2 linked regions of the Rattus norvegicus genome follow. The protein of the gene in region 1 binds, or shares a complex with, the protein of each later gene. Links are inferred from orthologs where the notes say so. Each region holds a gene or a part of one and is shown on either strand. Other genes may lie near its edges.

The links.
Region 2: Adgrg1 (region 1) and Cd81 share a complex: the UniProt entries of both Homo sapiens proteins name them as parts of the GPCR-tetraspanin complex. The link is inferred for Rattus norvegicus from reciprocal best matches to the Homo sapiens genes ADGRG1 and CD81.

Annotation. Positions count from the first base shown.
Region 1 is NC_086037.1:10,041,270-10,052,823, reverse strand, and holds the start of Adgrg1 (adhesion G-protein coupled receptor G1 precursor), read left to right. Parts: upstream 1-5,685; 5' UTR 5,686-5,968; intron 5,969-7,848; exon of another isoform or gene 7,849-11,554. UniProt on the Homo sapiens protein: Adhesion G-protein coupled receptor (aGPCR) for steroid hormone 17alpha-hydroxypregnenolone (17-OH), which is involved in cell adhesion and cell-cell interactions.
Region 2 is NC_086019.1:207,674,891-207,685,356, forward strand, and holds the end of Cd81 (CD81 antigen), read left to right. Parts: intron 1-775; coding exon 776-890; intron 891-3,519; coding exon 3,520-3,617; intron 3,618-4,286; coding exon 4,287-4,361; intron 4,362-4,571; coding exon 4,572-4,676; intron 4,677-4,955; coding exon 4,956-5,057; intron 5,058-5,450; coding exon 5,451-5,537; coding exon of another isoform or gene 5,538-5,623; coding exon 5,624-5,686; 3' UTR 5,687-6,204; downstream 6,205-10,466. Other genes in the region: U5 small nuclear ribonucleoprotein TSSC4, read left to right, coding at 8,206-9,171. UniProt on the Homo sapiens protein: Structural component of specialized membrane microdomains known as tetraspanin-enriched microdomains (TERMs), which act as platforms for receptor clustering and signaling.

The sequences.
Region 1 (11,554 bases):
ATCAGTCTACAGACAGCAAGTCCTGATCATAGGAAAATAGAAAGAAAGCTGAAGGGAGAGGAGAGGAGGGAGAGGAGGGAGAGGAGGGAGAAGGGAGAGGGGAGGATGGAGGAAGAGGGAAAGGAGGAAGAGGAAGAGGGAAAGGGCAGGAAGAGAGGAGAAAGGAAAGAGGAGGGGGAGGGGAGGAGGGAGAGAAGGGGGAAGGAAGAGGAGGGGAGAAGGGAGAAGAGAAAGAGAAGGAAAAGGGGGAGGGGAAGGAAATGAGAGGAAGGAGAGGTGGAGAGAGAGGAGGAAGAGAGAGAAGAGGGAAGGGGAGGAGGAAGAGGAATTAAGTTACATAAACAAAATTATAAAGTAGTAAAACTCAGAGTGAGGAACTTCTTTTCTCTTTGCTTTCTAAGACAGGGTCTCACTCTGCCGGCCTGGAATTTACAGAGATCCACCTGCCTCTGCCCACAGAGTGCTGGGGTTAAAGGTCTTTGTCACCATGCCCCACAATGTAGCACTTTCTAACTATTCCATTTGGCTATAATCTATTACCGTTGCTCAACTCTGGTCTCCCTTTGCTTCCTTTGTCGTGGCAATCAAGGTTCTAGGACCTGAGTACAGGATGATTTGACAGGTGTGAGGACAGGGTCTTTCCTGAGTTAATCAAGTTAGCTGGAGGCTCTAAGGGTCAAGCCTTATAGAACAGTGAATGTGAGCCCAGACAGCCATGCAGGGAAGGTGGGGACAGAGGCCCAGCAATGCTACCTGGTCCAGAAATGTCACAGATGGCTTCCATCCACCAGAAGATGGGAAGAAAGGTTCTTGGGACCCTCAGAAGGAACAAGCCTTGTTGACACTTTATTCTGTACTTTCTGGACTCCAGAACCAACGACACATCTGTGTTCTTTAAGCACTGGACTGTCTTGAAGACAGCGATAGTGTACTCACATACATAAAATAAATAAATACATCTTTTTAAAAAAAAGAAACCAAAACCATATAAATGTGTTGTTGGTTCTGGTTCTGGTCAAGGGTTAAAGTGTCAACAGAGCTGGTCCCTTCTGAGTACTCCAAGAACATTTCTTCCCGGCTTCTGATAGACGGAGACCATCTTTGATGTTCCTGGAATGGGTAGCAGAACCAGTTCAGGCAGAGTGGCTAATTCTAGCCGAGGACAGACACGTCCAAGGCTGCCTGACTTCCAGCTTCCTTGGGTAACTGGAGTCAGTGTCCAGGAAGGAGGTGTCCTCTCCCAGTTCTTTTTGTCGGTTCCCCTACACTTGGGCCCATTGCCCTTCTGAGCCTTCCCATCCTGCCTGTGCCCTGAGTCCACTCTTCTCGGGGCTGCTGTTTCCTTACCTCCTCCAAGAAGGCTTCCCTGATTTCCTAAGCTAATGTGGATTCTGGATTCCGTATTCTCTTCCTTACTCCTTGGTTATGTGTAAACATTCACCTTCATATTTCCTGGGTCGCCACATTAGTCCTCCAACTTTGAAATCTCTTTCCCATCTTCCTCAAGGCATGGGTACCCTAGAGACAGACATACTGTGTGTCTGATCCCACAGAGAGCAGCTCGACACTTGGAAAACGTTGAATGAACGAATGAAATACATCCAGTAAGAAGTTTCATGGTATAGACAATCCAGGGATAGGTAATCCATTCAAAGGCTGATGATGGCTCTGCTTGGCAATGCAGTTACATTTGGGTCTCAGCCTCCTGGTCCACAATCCCTGGACACGATCCGAACGCAGCCTGAGACTCAGTGTGTGGCCGGGACCTGAACACACAGGTACTCCGAGGAGCTGAATGTTCTTACAGGTAAAAGGCTGTGGGACTTTGTGTGTGTGTGGTGGTGGGGGTGCCAGGGGAAGAGCTAACTTCCTGTACAGGGAGGTTAAGGGAAAGAGGACAGGTGGAGTTTCCCTGGCAGAGGAGGGTGGGAAGTGGGTTCCCTGTGTGGGTGGAATCTTACTTTGGGGCCAACCCCTTCTATGCTTTTCTGCTGGAGGCCCAGCTGTGACATTTAGTTTCCCCCCAGTTTCCTGTGTCTGTCTAGTGGGCTCATGGCGAGTGCCAACTCCAGGCTGAAGTGAGGCTGAGAAGCTGCAAATGTGATTCAGTCACCTCCAGACACAGGGCAACCTGGAGAAGAGCAGTGTCACGGAACACTGAGGATGTGGCCCAATAGTGTTGACTCATGATGGAGGGGCACAGGCACATCTATCTCTCTTGCCCATAACCGAGGACAGATATTGCTCTTAGATCTGCTGGCTGCTGGCATGGGTGTGTCTTCCAGCAGTACCCTCCCCTTCCCCTGTACATGCTCCATCTCCTCATGTGACTCACTTGAAAACACCTCAGGATGGACGCCTCATTGTCCACTACTGACTGCAGGTCAGGGAAAGGCTTCAGCTTCGAAGCACCGAAGTGCTACTGGGTGGCAAACGCTTAGACTGCAGCGGGGGTGGTTTCCTGACTTAGATTGGGCATAGATGGATGACTCTGTGTGGAGGGACCTAGATGCCAGACTTGACCTCAACCAGAGGGCACAAAGCTGCCGTGAACGAGCTCACTAAGAACTTAGCCAAGTCTGGGTCTGCCGCACAGCCCCAGGTGGCCTTGAACTCTCCATCCTCTCGCCTCAGCCTCTTGCTGGGGTGACAGTCATCACACCTGGCTTACCGTGAACTCGCCGAGGGCTAGGCAGTGTCATCAGCTACCCATACCGACTCTTTTCTGCAGAGGACGGTGAGGCAGCCCAGCATGCTGCTGGGGTGGGCTCTAGAGCAGTGAGCTCGCACACCCACATTCCTGGGAAGGATGATTTCTGCCAGGGGCGGCCATAGGGAGACACTCTGTGTCACTGGAAGCAGTGGGGACCCCTTCTGTTCAGTAGCAGGAACAACACTGAGCACGTGGAGGATTGCCAAAAGCCAGTACCTTTCATCTGCTCTGCACTGGGGATGAGGAGCACTTAGGGGGCATTCAAACACGTGTCAGCCATTGATTGAGCATCTTTCCAGGAGTCCTCACAGCCTGGATAGGTGCCCCTAACACCTGCTGTGCACACGAGGCTGAGGGAGGTGACTGAACAGCAGGTTGGGCTGGGCTTCAGACAGTCTGATCCTGCCTCCCCACCCCCACCCCATCCACACCCCCACCCCATCCACACCCCCCACCCCATCATTTCCACTGCCCGCCCTACAGGGTGTTTGTTCTCTGAACCAGAGAGGCCCAGCACCTAGTACTTACTAGGCAAATATTAGCTCAGTGGATAAATACAGGAACTAGCGGAGGGGGGGGGGAATGGCCCGAGTCAGAAACCCTGCCTGAGCTCATGCCTGCCTGGATGAAGCCAGCACCTTCTCAATGTCCAAGGTGCGCTCAACCACGGCTTTCAGTCAGGGAGCTCACCCCCTGACCTTGTGGGCTCCATCAGTTCTGAGAGAGGCCGTGGAAACTTAGCTTGAAAGCATGAGACCCCCTGGGGACTCTCTCACCTTCTCACCAGGTACACTGTGAGGAAAGGGAAGGGACAGGATCTGTATTCTCTCTGTTTTCAGTGAGGGGTGGGAATAGGGCTGATTCTGGAGTTCAGCTGCCTGGGTGTGACTACAAGCCTGTTTCTGTACCTGACTCTGACCTTTTTGGGAGTACTCTGCCCCCTCAGCGCTGGGTAGCTACTCCCTCCAGGATGAGGGAGGAGTCAGTGCCCCACGATTTGCATTTAGCTCAGGACTGATTGCCTGGGTCCGGTTGGTTACAGTTCATCTCTGCAGGTGGCAGGTCTGAGACTTGGCCAGGCTCTTGTTACATTTTATTTCCTTAACCCACTATCCTAGGGGATGGTCTGGGTCGCTAGGAGACCGTGCCTCCAGACTCACAAACGATCCACGGTGCCTGCACTGCCAGGGCACACAAAACCTTCCAATTCTTGCTATGTTTGGAGAGCAAGCACAGCAAAAGCAGAGGTCCCCATTTGATAGGTGGTCTGAGGCACAGAGAGGTTAAGCAACCTTTCCAAGGAAACCCAGCAAAAGTGAGCTCAAGACTAGGATTCTGGCACCAGTCCTTGAGATCAGGTGACAGAATAGTAGTTAGATCACACGTGGGGGTGGGGTGGGGCAGGGCTGAAGACACAGGGGAAGATGTGAAGTGTGGGTGTGGATCTCACAAGCTAGGGAGTCACTGGTGGGCATACAGGAAATCACTGGGACTCCCCTGTGTGTCCTTATCAGGACAGATGGTATCTCTGGGGGCCACGAGGAACTGAAGTCAGACTTTCCCTGTGGGCCCTCTCACTCCCCATCTGCTCAGCTCTAGAGATCCAGCTTGTGCTGGGCAGAGGAAGTGTGCATGCCCACCCTGTAGCCAGGGGTTCTCATGAGGAAGGCATTTTGGTAGGATTGAAGAGTCTCGGCAGGGCCCGTCTAGAGCTGTTGCCAGTAAGCAGGTGCTGGCATCATCTTGGGACTGATGCTCCCTTTCGAGATCCTTCTCCTCTGTGGTCTCGTCTCCGCCTTTGGGTCCTTCATTCAGCTGCACGGCCGGCCGTGAGCAACCTTCTCCTCCTCATCCCTTAAGTCAGAATCACCGACCCCTCCGCCTTTGCCCTTCTGTCCACCAGAATGCTCTTTTCTAGGTACTCCAAAGGCTACCTGCTTGGATGCTGTCTGTATTCAAGCATCATCTCCCACTGAGAATCTAACACTGCTCCCCTCACCGGTATTTTCCTCCCCATTACTCTTACTAGAGCTCTGGGTAGATTATCGTTTATCCATTTGTCATCTGTAGCCCTGCAGCTCTGAGAGGGCAGGTGTGTGGCTCGTAGCTGTCTCTCCTATGCCCAGCACAGTGCCTGGGTCACAGTAGGTTTTCTACAAACGTGATGGAATCCATCCTCTGGTCCATCTGTCCATCCACCTATCCATCCATCTTCTTTTCTTATCCACTCACTAGTCTTTCCTGTAGAACGGACCTTATTCTGGGTCTGCTGTGGTAACTGCTGGGGTTCATAGACAAGAAAAACAGAGGGATTGATCTGAGGCTCAAGAAACAAAATGGACTGAGGGTGGGGGTGTTTCCAAGGTAAATCCTACAGGAGGGACACCTCAGCCCACAGCCGTGATTGATATCTCTTGTTCAGAGGATCCGCTTCTGTTTGGATTGGCTTCCTGAGGGAAGTATGGCTCAGCTAGCAGGTTTCTATGTAGGGAGCTGGTTGTGCATCAGAAGAACCCACACACACACCGCCCCCCTGATACTGGTACTGATTGCAAGAACTTGAAAAAGAGGTGGGTGGCAGTGTCTGAGGGAATTGCATCCACAGGGCCTCTCCATTGCAGGGTGGAGCTTGCCTGGACTTCTCCCCTTGGCATCCTCCCAAGATACCTAGGGCAGCTGCCACCACCCATCCCTAGCAAAAAAGCTCCGTCCCTGTCCCCTCACCCTCTGCCTGCTCTGGTTCCGCCTTAGACCAGCAGGGCATTTTGAGAACCCCACCCGCAGTCCCGGAGCCCTCCTGCATCCAGCCTGTGGCTGAGTTTGTATTGCGCTGTAGACAGGATAAGGGGCAGGATTCAGGTGGGGCCCCAGCTCGGAAGAGGGTGGAGAAGCCACAAAGGGCTGGCAGTTTGCAGGTGTGTGTGGGCGTGGCAGCATGCCTCCCACAGCCCGAAAGGGTCTCTGAAGCGCCGAGACCGTGTGATCCCAGCCTCCCACAAGGCAGCTCTTACTAACCAGGGAAGAGATGCCAAAAGTCCACGGAGGCTGAAGACCCTGTAAAGCTTCGCCAGAAAACCTAGGAGTGTTCGAGGGCACTTGGCACCGGAAGCTAGACCTGTAGGCGGAGCCTCACCTGGGTTGAGTTCACAGCTGCCTAGACAGGCTCAGACTAGGTGCTGGGCACCTGGAAGGAGGAGGCAGAGGCACCAGCAGTAAAGCCTATCTATCAACAGAAGGGCCTGCCTAGGCTTGGAGGTAAGACGCTGCTGTTAGTTAGACTGGGAGACGGAGGTAAGAGAGGGCTGCGGGTATGGCGTGGCTCGGCCCGCTTGACCTTGGTCTCAGGTGCAGCGCAGTGCTTGGGGGTTCTTGTGAGTGGGCTGGATCATGTCTCCCAGGCAACGACTAAGTTAGAGGTTCTAGCTGTTCCTAGGATACTCCTTGCTGCGCAGAGTGTGGGCTGGGCATGCTCAAGAGACGCCAATGGGGCACGTTGGCTGAATGTGAGGTGTGTCCCTCTTTGCCCAGAAGGGCACCATTGCCATGAGGGCCAGAGTGAAGCTTGGGCCCTGGCGTGTGGATGAAGACTGGCGGACATGAACCCCATTTTCCTCTTCGTTCCTAATGCTCCCCAAGTAGTTTCCTCCTGAGATCCGCGGGGGAACCGGTTTAGCAGCAGCTCACCCTGGTTGTTTGACTTCTGAGGAGGAAGAGGGGGCAGGCAACCTTTCCTGGTAAGCCAGCAAAAGGGCAGGGCTCACGGAGTTCTGTCTCTGCTGCTGCCAGCCACAGGTCCCCTTGCCTGTCAGCCCAGGTTTGTCCCCATCTGCAAGGGTCCTACCAACTGCTTCCCCACATGGTGGCCCCAAAAATGCATCTGCACCGGAAGGAAAAGTTCAGGCTTGCTGTGGTCTCGGCGGGACCCTGGCATTCCTTCCAACTGGATCCATGACCCTAGCTGTACCGTGACGGAGGTAGACAGGGCCCCAGATGTCAAATCAAATATTGCTTCTAAAGCCCCAGTGCCCAGCCCCCAGCCCTAGCTCATGGCCCCCACCCAACCAGACAAAGGTGGGCGGCTGGCGCCGCTGCTTTGCCTCTGCCAGTCTGGCTCCCTGAGGCGTGTGGGCTGCACGGTGGGTCCCTGCTAATGAGCATCTGATATCACTCCATTATGCCGCCTGCGCCACCTGCACCCCAGCACTTAATGGGAGACACGGGGGGGGGGTTCCCTGGCTGCTGGGCAGAGGGGCATGCAGAAGGCAGGAGGTGTTGGGGGCGGGTCTCCTGGGGTTGGGGTTGGGAATGCTCTGCGGGATTTCTGCAAAGTACTTAGGATTCCAGCTCTTTATTGTATCAAAAGAGAAGCGCTGGAGATGGATGGGGCGTAATCTCCACGCTAGGGTAACTGAGGCAGATCCATTTTGAGTTCCAGGCCAACCTGGGCTACATGGAGAGACGATATCTTGAAAGAAAGGGGGAAGGAAAAGGGAAGGAGGTGGTGGCAGCCTACTGGGATTTCAGGTGAGGAAATGAGTGTCTTTGTGACTGTCCAAGTGAGTCTCCCCGAGCCAACCTCTCACAAAGTATCTGTGCTTGTCTGTATGGGGAAGGGGGTGTGGGTGCACATGAGGACACAGCCAACATTCCGGTCCTGGAGACTGGCAGTGAGTGACCTGGCATAGTGCTCTCCTCAAGACGGAGCATGCCTTACCCATCCTTTCTATGGGCAAGACATCCTTTCTACGTCTTGAGCGTAGTCACTCACCCTCTCTGGGGGCTTCCTTTGCCTGCCTTGGCACAGATACTGCAATGCCTCTCTGCTTGATCAGAGACAGCTGAACCAGTTCTGGTGCCTGAGCAGCTGCCACTCAACCTCAGGACAGGACCCGGGGAGGGGCAGCATAGCCTGGGTACGAGTGTGGAACAGTTGGCAGCCGCTGACATGGCCTTTTTGGGGAATGCTGGTCACCTCAGACCAGGTCCAACGCTCTAGCTGAGGCAGGGTGGCCCCTGCGGAGGGTCGAAGTCCCTCTGTTCCTGCACACTGGAGCCATTTTAAGAGCAGACTCACAGAGGTAGGGAGGTAACTCAGTTGGCAACATGCTTGCTGCGGAAGCTGGAGGGCCTGAGTTCGGATTCTCCAGCACCACAGTCCCAAGCTTGGTGGTTTGTGCCTGCATCCCAGAGAGGCAGAGACAGGAGGAGCTCCAGGCTTGCTGTCCAGCAAGTCTAGCTGAATCAGAGAGCTCCAGGTTCCATGAGAGACTCTGTCTCAAAAAGTAATTTGAAGGGCCAGCAAGGCGTTTAGCTAAAGGGCTTTCCTTCAAGTCTGATGACTTGAGTTAGATCTCTGGATCCCGCATGAGGCAAGGAGAGAAGCAACTTCTGTGAGTTATCTTTTGACCTCCACATGCATGTCGTGTCACTGTTATCTGCACATGTTACACACACACATAAAACTCCTAAAACATCTAACACATAAGATGGAGAGTGATGGAGGAAGACGCACACTGGTGTTGACCTCTGACCTCCACACACATGTGCACATAAACATGCACACACATATATACTTCAACACATGCTCAAGAGCAAACCCAGTGGTCAGGAGGGTGCCATACCCATTTTACACATGAGGACACTGAGGCATGCAAAGATCAAAGCCCAGCAGCTTGATGCTAGACTCCCACAGCAGTTATGGAGAGCTTTGGGGCAATTCTGGAAGGAACCAAAGCAGCCAGGAGAGTGGTTTGGAGCCTCAGTCAGTGGCTCCCCTGTGCCAGGCTGCTTCTGAGCAGAGTATAGGTCAGAGAGTTATGTCCTGAAGAGGCAGAGCAGGGAACCTCATCATGACAACCTGGGCTGCAGAGGGAACCTATGTTAAGAGATGGGTAGGGTCTCCCTGGAGGACTCTAGGTCTCTGGATCCTGAAGGACAGGCCCAAACTAACAGACTTAGGACAGGATTCGTGAGGGCTTGTTCAAGGTGCTCACCTTAGCCCTGAGCTCAGGGGCTTCTGAATGCTAAGAGGCAGGGGCACAGCCAATTTGACTCTCTGAGCAAGATCTAGCTGGTTCCAGCTCTCCTGCTGGCGGGCTCTTGGTGTGGGGGTTGCTAAGGTGAGGGTCAGACATTCTGTCATGCCACCACACGAACAGGAGGCTCTTAGCCAGTTTTGCCTAGCCTCGGGTAGTTGGGCACCCAGGCATGCCCACCTCTCATGGCAGCCAGTGGGGGTGGCCTTGGAGGCAGCCAGCATGAACTTGGCTAGGGAACAAGACACTGGATTGGCTTCTTCCCAGCAGGCAGGAACGAGGTTCGCACAGAGAGAAAGGTCATGTGACCATGCTAGGGACCAAGGCCACTTCTTGTTGGCATTTGATCAAACATCCCTGGGACCAGAAAGAGAGACCTGGGGGTGGGGGTGGGGGAGTGTCTCCCCAGACCACAACCCTAGGGCTTAGGAAATCTGAGAGGCAGGTAAATGTAAACGGGCCACCCAGCTTAACTCCATCCCCAAGGACCTAGAGTGGACTCCCAATAAGGTCTCAGAAAATAGGCAAACTTGACTTGGGCAGACTCAACTCGCATCCTCTCCTGGCCTTTATTCCACTTTATCTGGTATGATATCCTTGAACCCCAAGCCTAGGCTTGAATCCTGGTGAGGCTTAACCCACCTTAATGGCTGAGAGAGGCCCCTGTTTCCTTTCCTCTGGACCAGCCATATTTTCATACTTCTCCCCGGCTAGGGGAAGGGGAGACCCCCCCAGTGGGGAAGGCTGTCCTGGGCACTAGCACACAGCTGCCTTTGTAAGGGTGACTGAGTCACATGGACACCCCCATCCTTGCTGGACCCTGGGGCGATGTGACGCGAGGTGGCTTTATCATGGGGCTGTGGCTTCCCCCACGCTTTTGGGCAGGAGCCTTTCCCACGGGAATGAAGGGAGCGGGGAGGTGGCTGGGAGCACAGCCCTAGCACATCTGCATTACTGGCTACAGGATCGTGGGGGTGGCTTTGGGAAGGTCGCTTTTCTGTGCCTCAGTTTCCATCTCTGATAAACGCACCAGGCATTCCTGTTGTAGAGAAGCCCTTGTGTTCATGTTAGCATCAATGTGCTGGGTATTACGCTCTAAAACATACAGGGACACTGAGCTTGCAAGAGAAGCCTGTACTTGAGCTCTTTCTGTAGAGTTAAAAACCCACCTCTGACCAGGCAGTGTGTTTCCAGGCTTTTTGTCAAGGCTGGACTCAGCTCATTCCTCTTGACAAGGCTGGCTGTGTAACCCGTTCTATTAGGCAGGTTAGAGAGAGATTGAGGCCTGAAGGTCCCTTGAAGTTGTACCAGCCACATACTCCATGGGGCAGTAGCCCCAGCAAGCAGCCCTCCCTGTTGCTTTCTCTTTTTTTCTTTCTTTCTTTTTTTTTTTTTTCCTGAAGCTGGGGACCGAACCCAGGGCCTTGCGTTTGCTAGGCAAGCACTCTACCACTGAGCTAAATCCCCAACCCCTCCCTGTTGCTTTCTAATCCATAGCCATGGGTTCCTGTGTCCCTGAAGAGCTCTCCTTGGTGCCCAGAGAGCAGGTGCTAATATTTTGTCTTCGCCTAACAGCGAAGGGGTAGCTGGGTAGAGATGCTTGCCCAAGTCACCATCTGGCAGAGGAGTCTGCTGTAGCCAGTTGGCCAGGGGTCCGCATCAGTATTCTCTCTTCCATTTCTTATAAAGAAAGGGCAACTGTCAGCTTCCTGTGCTCCCCACCCCATGCTGACTCTGTCACCAGCCTGTAGTCCCACAGCCCTCCCTGTGGAGCCCTTTTCTAGCTGAGTCCTGGCCTGGTGCTTCTAGTAGCCATGGGAACCAGAGAGGACATGTGGTTCCCTAATGCTACAGATCCACTCTGCATTAGGGTAGCCTTTTCTCGCCGTCTCCCAGATTTGCACCCTACTCCTGACATGTATACATGTCAGGGATGCTTTTGATACCTCCCCTTTCCCTGTTTGGCTTTCCTCAGCCTTGTTTGTCTCAGACTTTGGATACAAGACTTTACCCCAGCTTTTCTCTGTCTCTATCTTCAAGACACGGCCTGAGCTCAGCCACTTGTCCACACCTCACGTCATACCCACCCAGTTTAAGAGGAGAGCCAGGCCAAAAGGATAACCACCTGGGAATTCTGTTAAATTTTAGGTTCTTATGAGACAGATCTGGGGCATATCTGAAATCTGAGGTTTCTGGCAATTTTTCATAACTTGAGCCCTGAGCACAATCCTTCTTGTGAGAGTGGATTTTTTTTCAAAATCTTCCATTATCTGGATCCATTTCCTTCAAATGGCTCTCCCTACCTCTCCACCCCTGTTGCTGTTACCCCTAGCAGTTTCTTCTGAAGGTCTCTTTTTCTTGAACTTCCTAACTTCTCCAATATTCGGCTGGGCTCGGGAGCCATTTGGTCCACACCCAGCCTTTGGAGGGTGTGGCTGAGAGCCCCTTGCTTTCTCTGTACACGGTCCTGCTCTGTATGGTGGAGACATGGTGGAGATGTTGAGGCTAAGGGCCTGTACCTGCTGGATGTTTGCTGAGAGCCCGAGAGCCAGCTGCATCTCACGGAGTGGTGGTGGTGTGCAGTGGACCACTGGGCGCCTGCTTGCCACCTCTACTTCCCCAGCTGTGAGACCTTGAAGAAGTTAACTACCTTCCCTGAGCATCATCCCCCCCCCTCCCTTGCCCCTCTTCCTTCTTCATTACCACATTCCTGGAGAATTCCTTCGGACTCATTAATTGTCTGGGCAGGGGCTGGGAAGCAGGGAGGAGGCAGAGGGAAGCCTGGAATGCCGAGCTGCAAGGCCTG
Region 2 (10,466 bases), on another chromosome or scaffold:
CTGGTTTCTATTTGCTGTCTCTACTGGGGAGTGCCACTGACCCTTCCAGAAGAGAAGGCCTAGAAGTGGGGAAGAGATTGCTTCCCTTGGTCTGTTCTCACCGTGGGGCCTGGTGACATCACATGGTCACCCCTGTCCTCCTGGCAGGGAGACCTTGGTGTCTCTACCGCAGAGTTCTCAGTACCCTACCTGAAGCAGTCTCTACACAGTCTCAGGGCCGTTGGGACAGGGTACCAGGGGAGAGCCCGGCAGCATCCTGAGTGGCTAGGGCTCATTGTGGCCACTTCTCAGATAAAAATGTTGTACAGTTGGTCAATCTGGAACAGTAGGGGGAAAAATGTTTCCTGTTGATTTTGGAGACAAGGTTTCAATAGCCCAGGCTAGTCTCAAACTCACATGACCTTGAATTCCTGATCCTCCTGCTTTTACTTCTCAAGTGCCACCAAACCCAGTTTACGTGGTGCTAGCTTGAACCCAGGGCTCCCTACATGCCAAAGCCTCTTATCAACTGAGCCACGTTTTCTGCCCAAACCTCCTTGTTTGTGTCGTGCACTATTAGAGGTACACTTGAACTCTGTTCTAGAGTTACAATGAAAGGAGCTGGTGGGACCCAGAGCTCAGCGGCAGTGGCTCAGTGAGCAGACCCCATGGGGCCTGGTTGACGTCCGGCTCCACAACTGGAAGTGATGGCTTTATATGATAAGCATCGTAGGGTTCCATCGCCTCACAGCGCTCTGGCCTCTATATGACATTGTTCCTGATTTTTTTTTCCTAGCTGGCTGGAGGTGTGATCCTAGGTGTAGCTCTGTGGTTGCGCCATGATCCACAAACCACCAGCCTTCTCTACCTGGAACTGGGAGACAAACCAGCACCTAGCACCTTCTATGTGGGTGAGTAACAAAGAGACAGGGTCTAGTCACAAGTCCAGAACAGTCAGGGAGGGCTTCCAGGAAGAGGCTGATGAATCTGAATCTGGTGGGTGGGGCATTAGAACCCACAGTGGCCTAGGCCTAATATGAGCTGGAGAGGGAGGCTGCCTACAAGAGGAGAGTTGGGTTGGGTGTGGTGCTGCTGGGGACCCCACAGATCTGAGACTGGGCTAAACTGAAAGGAAGCAGCTGGGAAGGGCAGGGGCCTTGTAGGACCTTGCTTATTTTAACATGGACATTTCTAGTGAACCTTCCTGGGCAGGGTGGGGCTGGATGCCTGGGCTAGCAACAGCTGAGGCCCCAGGAGTCCTGAGTTGGGGAGGGCTGGAGACAGTGAATGACTCAGATACCCCATCACACCCCACCCCACCCCCACCAGCAGAGGCCAGACTGCTGCACCTGCCTTATTTGGCTGCCTGTGGGGGACTGAGCACCTCCCTCTCAAGTAGGAAGATAGCGGCTGTGCTATGCTGTCCTATGCTGTGGTCCACTATTCTGTGCTGAAGGAGGAAGCTTTCCTCCTTCCTCCCCCTGGAAGAGGGACCTGGTGTCCCGAGAACTGAAGAAGTATTTGGAGATGGTTTCACCCTTCTAAAGCTCTCACCTTCATCAGGGGTCTAATGTGGATCTTCCTCCTCCTCCTGTGGAGCCTAGAAGGGGCTGGGGAGACATGCTTGAGGCTGAGTGGGGACCAGGAGATCTGAAGTAATCAGCATTCTCCCTTTCCGCCTAAGTGCCCCAGAGCAGACAGGGCTTTGGTCACCACATGACTCGCTCTATTTCCTTCCTCCCTATACTCTGCCCACAGCTTCAGCGTGGGTAAAATGGACCGTGGTAGAGTCCAGACAATGTAGGCTGGGGCCAGAACCTGGTCTCCTTCGAGGAAGGCTGTGAGGGGTAGCAGTTTTCAGGCGTGGTTGTTAGTAGGAAAGGGCCCACACCAGCTATCCGTCCTTGGATCTGGTACCTTCAGAGGAGGAGGAGGATGCCCACTAGCTCATACAGACACTGGCTTGTTGTGTAGCAACTGATATGGGTCTCTTTACAAGGGAGATCTGGGCATCAGAGACAGACAAGGGGAAGGCTGTGTTCCCACTCTGCACTGGTATGGCAGGAGAGGCTGGGTACCCTGCAGAGCCCAGATAGGGTGGCCTAGGAAGCAGGTCTCTATCCTCATGTTCTCATAATAGTCTACTCCAGGCTCCAGTTCCAGAGCTGCTCAGCCACCTGCCCATCTGGGGTTATGGCCCCCTGGATACTGGATAAATAGTCTCAGGGACTACACTGTGTAGCAGGTTGGGTGCTGACAGCAAGGCCCATAGCCTATGGGTAGGAGCTACTCTGGCTGCTGTGTCCCTGGACAACCTGAATTGACTTTCTGGAGCTTCCTGCTGCCCCTGAACTGAGCTCCTCTAGGAGCAGATGTGGCCCTGAAAAAGGTGTCTTGTCCAGTGTTTAGGAGAGTGAGTTCAGGGCTTGCCTAACATCCCAGAAACCACCACATGGGCTTTAGGTGAGACATGCGTTAGGCCTAGGAAGTCCTGGGACAGTGCCTGTGTGTTGGGTGCCCGACTGTATGTATCCTCCTTTGAGACAGCCTACACCTCATCTTGAGGTTGGGGTTTCAGGGCTTGACAACAGGGACCTGGTTGAAGGTGCTCCGCCCATTGGGAGGCAAAGGTGAAACCAGTTTCTAGGCAACCTTGGTGGGAGGTTTCCCCTAGACCAGGCATGTTTAGTGAGGCCAGAGGATTTGGCCTGTTTCTAAGTCTGGCAGCAGGTCCAGGCCACGGTACTTTCTCCGCTGGTCTGGCCAGGCAGGGGACAATGGGTCTGACTCTGTACAAGGAAGCTTGGAGTGCCCTGCATTGTTGCCGTGGAGACTGGGGGATGGGCTGCTTCTACTGAGGAACCAAGAGATAGAGGGCTCATCAGAGACACAGTGTGCTTTCCCTCGGGGCTGAGGGGTACTGTGGCCACTGAGGCAGGGACATGGTCCAACTGGTGCCTCGTGGGCCACAGTGTTCCCCTGCAAACTCACAGCCCAGCCAGTGGCAGATGTTGGGTGCTCTGCTCAAACTATCCCTATCATTCTGTCAGCCCTCCAGCCACCCCCCCACAGGTTCCTGTCCTTAGAGTTAGGTGAGCAGAATGGTTATACAGCGTTCCTGAGATGAGGTGCCTGGAGTTGGTTACTGGCTTAGCTTACCCTTGACTTCACACTCATCCAGTATTGGGAGTCCTGGACATCGGGCCCCAACATCCACGACACTTCCCCATTTCATGCACTGAAGTGGGTAGTCTGCCTCAGCCCTCTACAGTGAGTGCCGAGGAGGGTTCCTGATCTCAGGTGCAGGTGGTGGGGGACTGGCTCCAGAGCAGAGCATACCTGTGAAATGGAGATTACCCGTGTTCTCTGGGCACTGAATTGCTGTTTTGTCCTCCAGTGGCAGTGGCGGCTCCTCTCACAGGACACTGAGGCACAAATGGCGCACATTGCTAACCTCTGCCTGTTGTGGTTGTGAGTCAGATCTTCCTATCTCAGGCAGTGGTGCATGCAGCCTGCTTACCCAGCTCTTCCCCTCCCCAGGCATCTACATTCTCATTGCTGTGGGAGCTGTGATGATGTTTGTAGGCTTCCTGGGGTGCTATGGGGCCATCCAGGAGTCCCAGTGCCTGCTGGGGACGGTGAGTAGAAAGGGCTGAAGGGCTGGGGAGCAGGGTTTCTGGCAACTTACGTGTCTTCCCCAAGGTTTTGGTTTTCCTGTTTGCTTGATTTCCATTGGGTCTGCATATGAATATATATCTTAGAAAAAGGGATTTCACTTTAGAAAAAAATAGACTCCAGAAGGGCATCTCACCCCTAAAGCCAGCCTTAGTGCTCCTGACCATACTAGCTACTGGAGAAGAAGCTGAAGCCCAGATAGATATGCCTTCTAGAGCCTGGTCAGCCTGGGAGGGAGGCCCTGACAGTATCGAAAGCAGGGGAAACGACTGAAGCACACTTCATAGTTTAACCTTTCCATGGCTGTAGGATAAAGGAGGTGAGGAAACTGAGGTCAGGGTTGCGGGGTGTTTTGCTGCATGTGCCTCAGTGAAGGCTGTGGACACTTGGACTTGTCAGCTGCATTTCTTACACCAGCCATATCCTGCAGAATAGGAAGCAGGGGGAGGCTGTGACAACTTGGCCATCTCAGTGGGGCTGTATCAGGCTCTATCTCTCAGTGGCTCTACGTGGCTCATTCTTAATCAGGCCATGGTTAGTGGATACAGCCAACCCCCTTGGCACATAGTTGTTGGTCACGTGGGCTAGGCCTGGGCTTGCTGGTCAAGGCTCTGACCTCTTCTTTCTCCTAGTTCTTCACTTGCCTTGTGATCCTGTTTGCCTGTGAGGTAGCTGCGGGCATCTGGGGCTTTGTAAACAAAGACCAGGTAAGCCAGATTCACTGGGGAGGGAGATATGCCCTCTGCTCTGAGCCCATAGGTTATCAGGTACTTTTTTTTAATTTCTGGGGCCCATTGGTGGGGGCAGGGTCTTGGGAGCTTAGTGGAAGAGGTGGCATGGGGCTGAGCACATGGGGGGTGGGATGAATACTCTTGGTGGTAGCCCCTTCGCTGCACGTGACCATGATTCTCCCCCAGATCGCCAAGGATGTGAAGCAGTTCTACGACCAGGCCCTTCAGCAGGCTGTGATGGATGATGATGCCAACAATGCCAAGGCAGTGGTGAAGACCTTCCATGAGACGGTACAGCTAAGCTGGAGCAGGAGGGCAGGTTGTGGGGTGTGTGGGGGCATGAGTCCCAGATCTCTGTAACAAGACCTGGGAAAGGTTCTCCTCTATGATTAGATTCCCCAGGTAGGAATCTAATGGGCCTCGTTTTCCCAGGGGTTTGGAGGAATGGGACTTGTGTGCAGGGTGACCAACCAGGCAGAAGGACAGACAGCTCCCAAGTGTATATTTTGGGGTGATGCTGTGCTGTGGGCTTGATCTTTCCCTTGACAGTGTTGTTCTTGGTCTCTGCAGCTCAACTGTTGTGGCTCCAATACGCTGACCACACTGACCACCACCGTGCTGAGGAACAGCCTGTGTCCCTCAAGCAGCAACTCATTCACTCAGCTTCTGAAGGTGGCGTGGAGTGGGGGTGGGCATCATATCCTGGGTGGTAGGTAGGGGAATGTGGCACGCCAGGAAGATCAGCACTCTGAACAGGCAGGACCTCTGAAAGGCCCATAGACCATCTCAATTAGTGGGATGCAGGGTCCTGACAGCCTGGGTTAACCCCTGCAATATCCTGAAAACCTGTTCTCTTGAGTAGTCCCTCAAACACTGGTACCCTAGGGTACTAGTGAGGTCAAAAACACTACCCCGTGATAGAGAAGGCCACAGGCAGCAGGTCCATGTGTTTTACATTTATTTACATGTGGAAGATAAGCTGTGGTGCCTAGGCCCCATCACTGAGTAGGGTGGTAGCTGTGACTTAGCCACTGACTGTTAACCACCGTCTTGCCATCCCTGCAGGAAGACTGCCATCAGAAAATCGATGAGCTCTTTTCTGGGAAGCTGTACCTCATTGGAATTGCAGCCATTGTGGTAGCTGTCATTATGGTAAGCACAGGGCCTCTGGTGGGTAGGCGGGCAGAAAGCATCCTTCCCAGGGTCTTAGGTGCTGACTGTGCCTCTCCCTCCTGCAGATCTTCGAGATGATTCTGAGCATGGTGCTGTGCTGTGGCATCCGGAACAGCTCCGTGTACTAAGGCCCTTCGCTTCGCACCAGAGGGTCCCTGGAATGACCAGAGGCCACCTTGGGGGCCATGGCCTGTGTATATACTATTTCTGTATTACTCTGCTACACTTAGCCTTTTTACTTTTGAGTCTTTTTTGTTCTGAACTTTTCCTGTCACCTTTTGGAGCCGACACCACACATAGGTGGCGTATGTGGGGACGTAGAGGTGGAGCTGGCCCTAGCTGGCAGGGCCCTGTACTTCTGGGACCCCTGGAGAGTTCTGCCTGCTGAGCCAAACCTCCTCCATAGCTACTTGTCCAGAGGCCACATAGCCAAGCTAGAAGGCCATGTCCACCCACTCTGCCCACTGTGGGTCACATCGCTCCCATCTTTTTAATCCTTGTCCCTTTCCTGCCTCCATTTCAAGAGCTGGGTTTGTAAGCACTCTTATGCCTTCAATGCACTTATTCTTTCTAACGTGTCACCTTCAACTGTAATTAAATCTTGAAACAGTCATTTAATAAAGGAGGAAAAAATCAGGCATGCTAATGGGACTGCCAGACCTCTTCCTGTGCCAGTGGTGTCAGAGACCTGGCTCGTCAGCTCTGAACTTTGCCAGGTACAGGGTGAGCAGGTCCAATAGAGCCTGTGGAACACAGTGGGTGGGGAGGGCTGGGACCCTGGGAGCACTCCATGTTGAGTACTCCCTCACTTCTGTACCTCCCTGTACTGGGAGCTCAATGCTGACCTAACACCAGCCTTGACCTCATTTCCACTCATCTGTTGGGAATGCCAGGTCGGCTGAGTCGGGTAGGAGGAGCCACAAGGCAGGGGAATCCAGCACAGAATGTTGGGGATAAACTGCAAGAACACTTTCCTTTTGAGGGACAAGACAGTAAAGGTTAGACCATTACCCCATCTCAGGTATCTAGGTGTTGGAAATATTCCACTGAGCTGGATGGTTCTAGCTTGTGTCTCAAGAAATAAAAGGCAGTCCGCTGAGCTCACCCCTGTGAACTGAGGATCAGGCTAAAGCAACCTCCTGGACACAAGGGGCAACCACCACTGTCTTTCTCTTTGACTCCTGTCTGCACCCCTCCCCCAGGCTGCTGGGTTAATTGGCCACTAGAGAGGAGAAGTCCTGGCTAAGATTCAGGTCCCAGCAGTAGGCTGATTTGTCGGTGAACCCCAAGCTTGTACTAGGGCATTCTAGGTCTCAGCCACCTCCACCCACCACGCCAGGGCAACCTGTTCCATGCTTGGCTGGCTTCTGAGGGAACCTTTATATTCTATGTTGTGAGGCCCATGGGCACCAGGCCAAGGCTGTTGGAAGCCTGTTGCACAGCTTCAAGAACATAGTAAAGGAGGAGAGAATGCAGCAGCCCAGTGGATCCTCAGACTCTGGTGTCTAAGGATGCAAGAAAACAGTCCCAGGCCTGGAGGAGGATTATGTGTGGCCTTGAATAGTAGGGTCAGCGTCCAGCACCTAAAGCGTCCGTCCGTGCCTGTGTCAGGAAGCACAGACAGGCAGTGCCCACGGTAACGGCCTCGAATCTATGAAGCCCCAACCAACCCATTACAAGGACCACCACGTCTCTATACGCCAAGAGCCAACCAGGACCTTGGTCCCGCCCAACTCCAGAAAGCCAACAAAGCACAAGACCCGCACCACTTCCGCCCAGGGCCGGAAGTGTCTGGGAAACTGGTTGTAGCTCGCAGTGCGTAGTGACGCACTTCCTCGTGTCGGACCCGGCCCAGGTGGCTTCCGACGGACGACGCTAGAAGCCTCAACCCTTTGCGATTGGCAGTTAACCCTAGAGTATTGTGGGAATCACGGCTCCGCCTTTTCCCCTTTCGTCATTTCTGGGTGGATTTCCGTGTGCGCTCCGGTCTTCGGGATGGCACACATGTTACAAGTCCCGGCAGGCATTAGGCAGTGACCCCATTGCCTTCTGGGAGTTGTAGTTTCTCGGGCGCTGAAGCCACAATATTCTGATAGCCCGAGACTCGGTTTCCCAGGAATCCAAGCGAGATTGAACAGGCCGGAATCCCGTGGAACTGGCGGGACGCTGCGGGAAAGGTGGCAGGTTATTGAAGCGTGTACGGATGCTGGAACGGTGAGCACTGGCCTCCCTAGGGCCGCGACCAGGCCAGTACCGTGCCTGTTTCTGCCACCTCCCCCTCCGGACCCCGGGTGGTGCCTTCAGTGTGTGCCCAGAGAGGCTGCGCTTTGCTAAGAGCTCGTGATGGGACGAGCCGCTGATGGAGATCCCCTGTCACCAGCATCTCCCAGCGCTCATCTATTGTATGTCCACACTGTTATGATCTCATGGTTGACTCTCTCCTTAACCCCACCTAACCTGCAGCTCCACATCTGTGCACGCTAGGATACCCTTTAGCCACCCAGCTTCGCGAGGCCTCCGGTCCGGTTGTGAGTAGAGGCGCCTGGCACACAGTGGAGGTGAAAGAGCCCGGGAGGGCGGGGAGGGGTGCGGCATTAGGTACACCCCTCACGGCAGAACTGGGACTGCCTTGCTACAGGTGGGACGGATGTCAGGTCTTATGGCGGAGACAGAGGCCGGCTTGGAGGTTGAGGAACCCACCGAGGATGACACCCTGCCTTCTGACACCGTCTCCCTCAGCGACTCGGACTCTGACCTCAGCTTACCTAGTGGTGTGGAGGTCCAAGCGTTGTCCCCAGAGAGGCTTTCTGGGGAGAGCCAGGAGGACTCGGGCCCTGATGACCCTCCCTCGCACCCCACGGGCATTCCCACCACTGCAGTGCAGCCGTTCCACCTCCGAGGCATGAGCTCCACTTTCTCCCAGCGGAGCCACAGCATCTTTGATTGTCTGGAGAGTGCAGCCCGGCAGGAACCGTGCTCTGCTCCCCAAACCAGTGTGGTTGACAATTGCAGCTTCAAGCGGCCTGTGGCTCCCCCAAGTCAGACTCCAGCAAGAAGCTTGAGCAGAGTGCATGGGAACACTGACCCGACCAGGGTACACCCTGTCCCTGACTATGTGTCACACCCTGAGCGTTGGACCAAATACAGTCTGGAAGATGTGTCTGAAACCAGTGAGCAGAGCAATCGTGATGCTGCCCTGGCCTTCCTGAGCTCTCGAAGCCAGGCATCCCCCACAGACTATGTGCCCTTTTTCAACCAGGACCCCTCTAGCTGTGGGGAGGGAAGAGTGGTCTTCACCAAACCAGTGCGGGGCAGCGAGGCTAGGGCTGAGAGGAAGAGGGTCCTAAAGAAGGGGGTTGTGTCAGGTGCAGGGGGTGAGGCCTCAGTGGAGCTAGCCCATCTCGCCGGGCCTGAGGCTGAGGAATGGAGTGGCCACCAGGGACAGCCAGAGGTGGTAGTGCCTTCAGAAGCTGCCCGTCCTGAGTCCTCATCAGGCCCCATAGGTATGAAAACTGTTGGTTTCCATGGCAGCAAGAAGCGGAGCAGAGACCACTTCCGGAACAGGGATAGTAACCCGGAGGGGCCAGGGTCTGAGAGAGGACCCTCAGTTTGACTGCAGTGCCATCGCTCTACCTCCTCACCTGCCCAGTCCAGGTGGGACAGTGTGGGCTCTCTGTAGTAGGGATGTGTGGGCCTCAACTCTGGCAGAGACTGGGAATTGTGGGTCAGGGGACCTTGAAGGCCTTTGTGCCCCATTGTTTGGGGTGAATAATAAAGGTTTTGAGTATTTACTGAATTTCGTGAATTTTTCTCGGCCCCACTCAAGAGTTATGTCCAAACAGTCCTGGGCAGCTAACTACAGGACTGCATCTCTACCAGCCTCATCCTGCCTTCCCCGCTCTAGTGAGGACCGCTGTGAAGGTTTGCCATGGGCATTGATGTTTGTCACTGGTAACCTACCCAGAGGGAGTGGGCTCGTAGCTGTGTTCAGCCTTGTGCCCCTGATGGTACTGGATGAGCATAATATGGTCCCCCTGCCCCCCAGAAACCAGTGCAGCCCCAGCACTGGGCCCGCACAGACCACGGGTTCTAGGAAGAGGATAAGTTGTGAGCCAGCAAATGGTTGGTGTCCGGGCTGTATGTCTCCAGGACTTGTGACCTCTGTATAAGACACAGCTGATGCTAGATCCTTCAGCTGAAGCTGGGCCAGGGAGGAGGAGAAGGATGCACGAGTGAGTATTTCATGTGGAGGCCAGGGACTTGGACCAAGTTAGCCAGCCTGGCCTGCTAAGCACCGGGTCTGCCCCAGTCTCTGTAGTTCGCCTAGAAAGGACCTGGGTGGTCATTTAATTTGAGAAGTAGTAGAAGGAACAGAGATGCTGTTCATTGGGTCAGATAACTCCATGTTCCCCAGGTGTTTGAAATGTTGGTTTAGCCACCCCTGTGGTCCAGTTTAGCTTAGTTGAGGTGGTCTACAGGCTTTATAGAAAGTAAAATAGCATTGGGTACCCTTGAGCAGTATCTTGGGGTTTGTGCCAGGACAATCACACAAATTATGCTGTGGGGGCTGAAGGATGGGAGCTGATTACAGTAGATCTGAGTCCTGCCCTCTAGAAGCTGGTCGGCTGATGGATGAATCAGAGGACAAGAAGGAAACCTCTAGTGTTTAAGAGGTTGGCCTCTTTGGAACTCAGGGTAAGACAGGCTAGACGTAAGTAGCCCCATCCAGGCAGATGGTATCCCATGTGGGACTTGGCCAGTTCCAGCTGTCCAGTCTTAGCTGGTGAAAGTTTTAGGTAGGACATGAGAAAACTTCCCCTGCTGGAGAGGACGCCTGGGGCTCCCAGATAGATGCCAAAGACATGAGTCTCATTTTCATAGGAAGAGGTGTCCAAGACATGGTCTGCG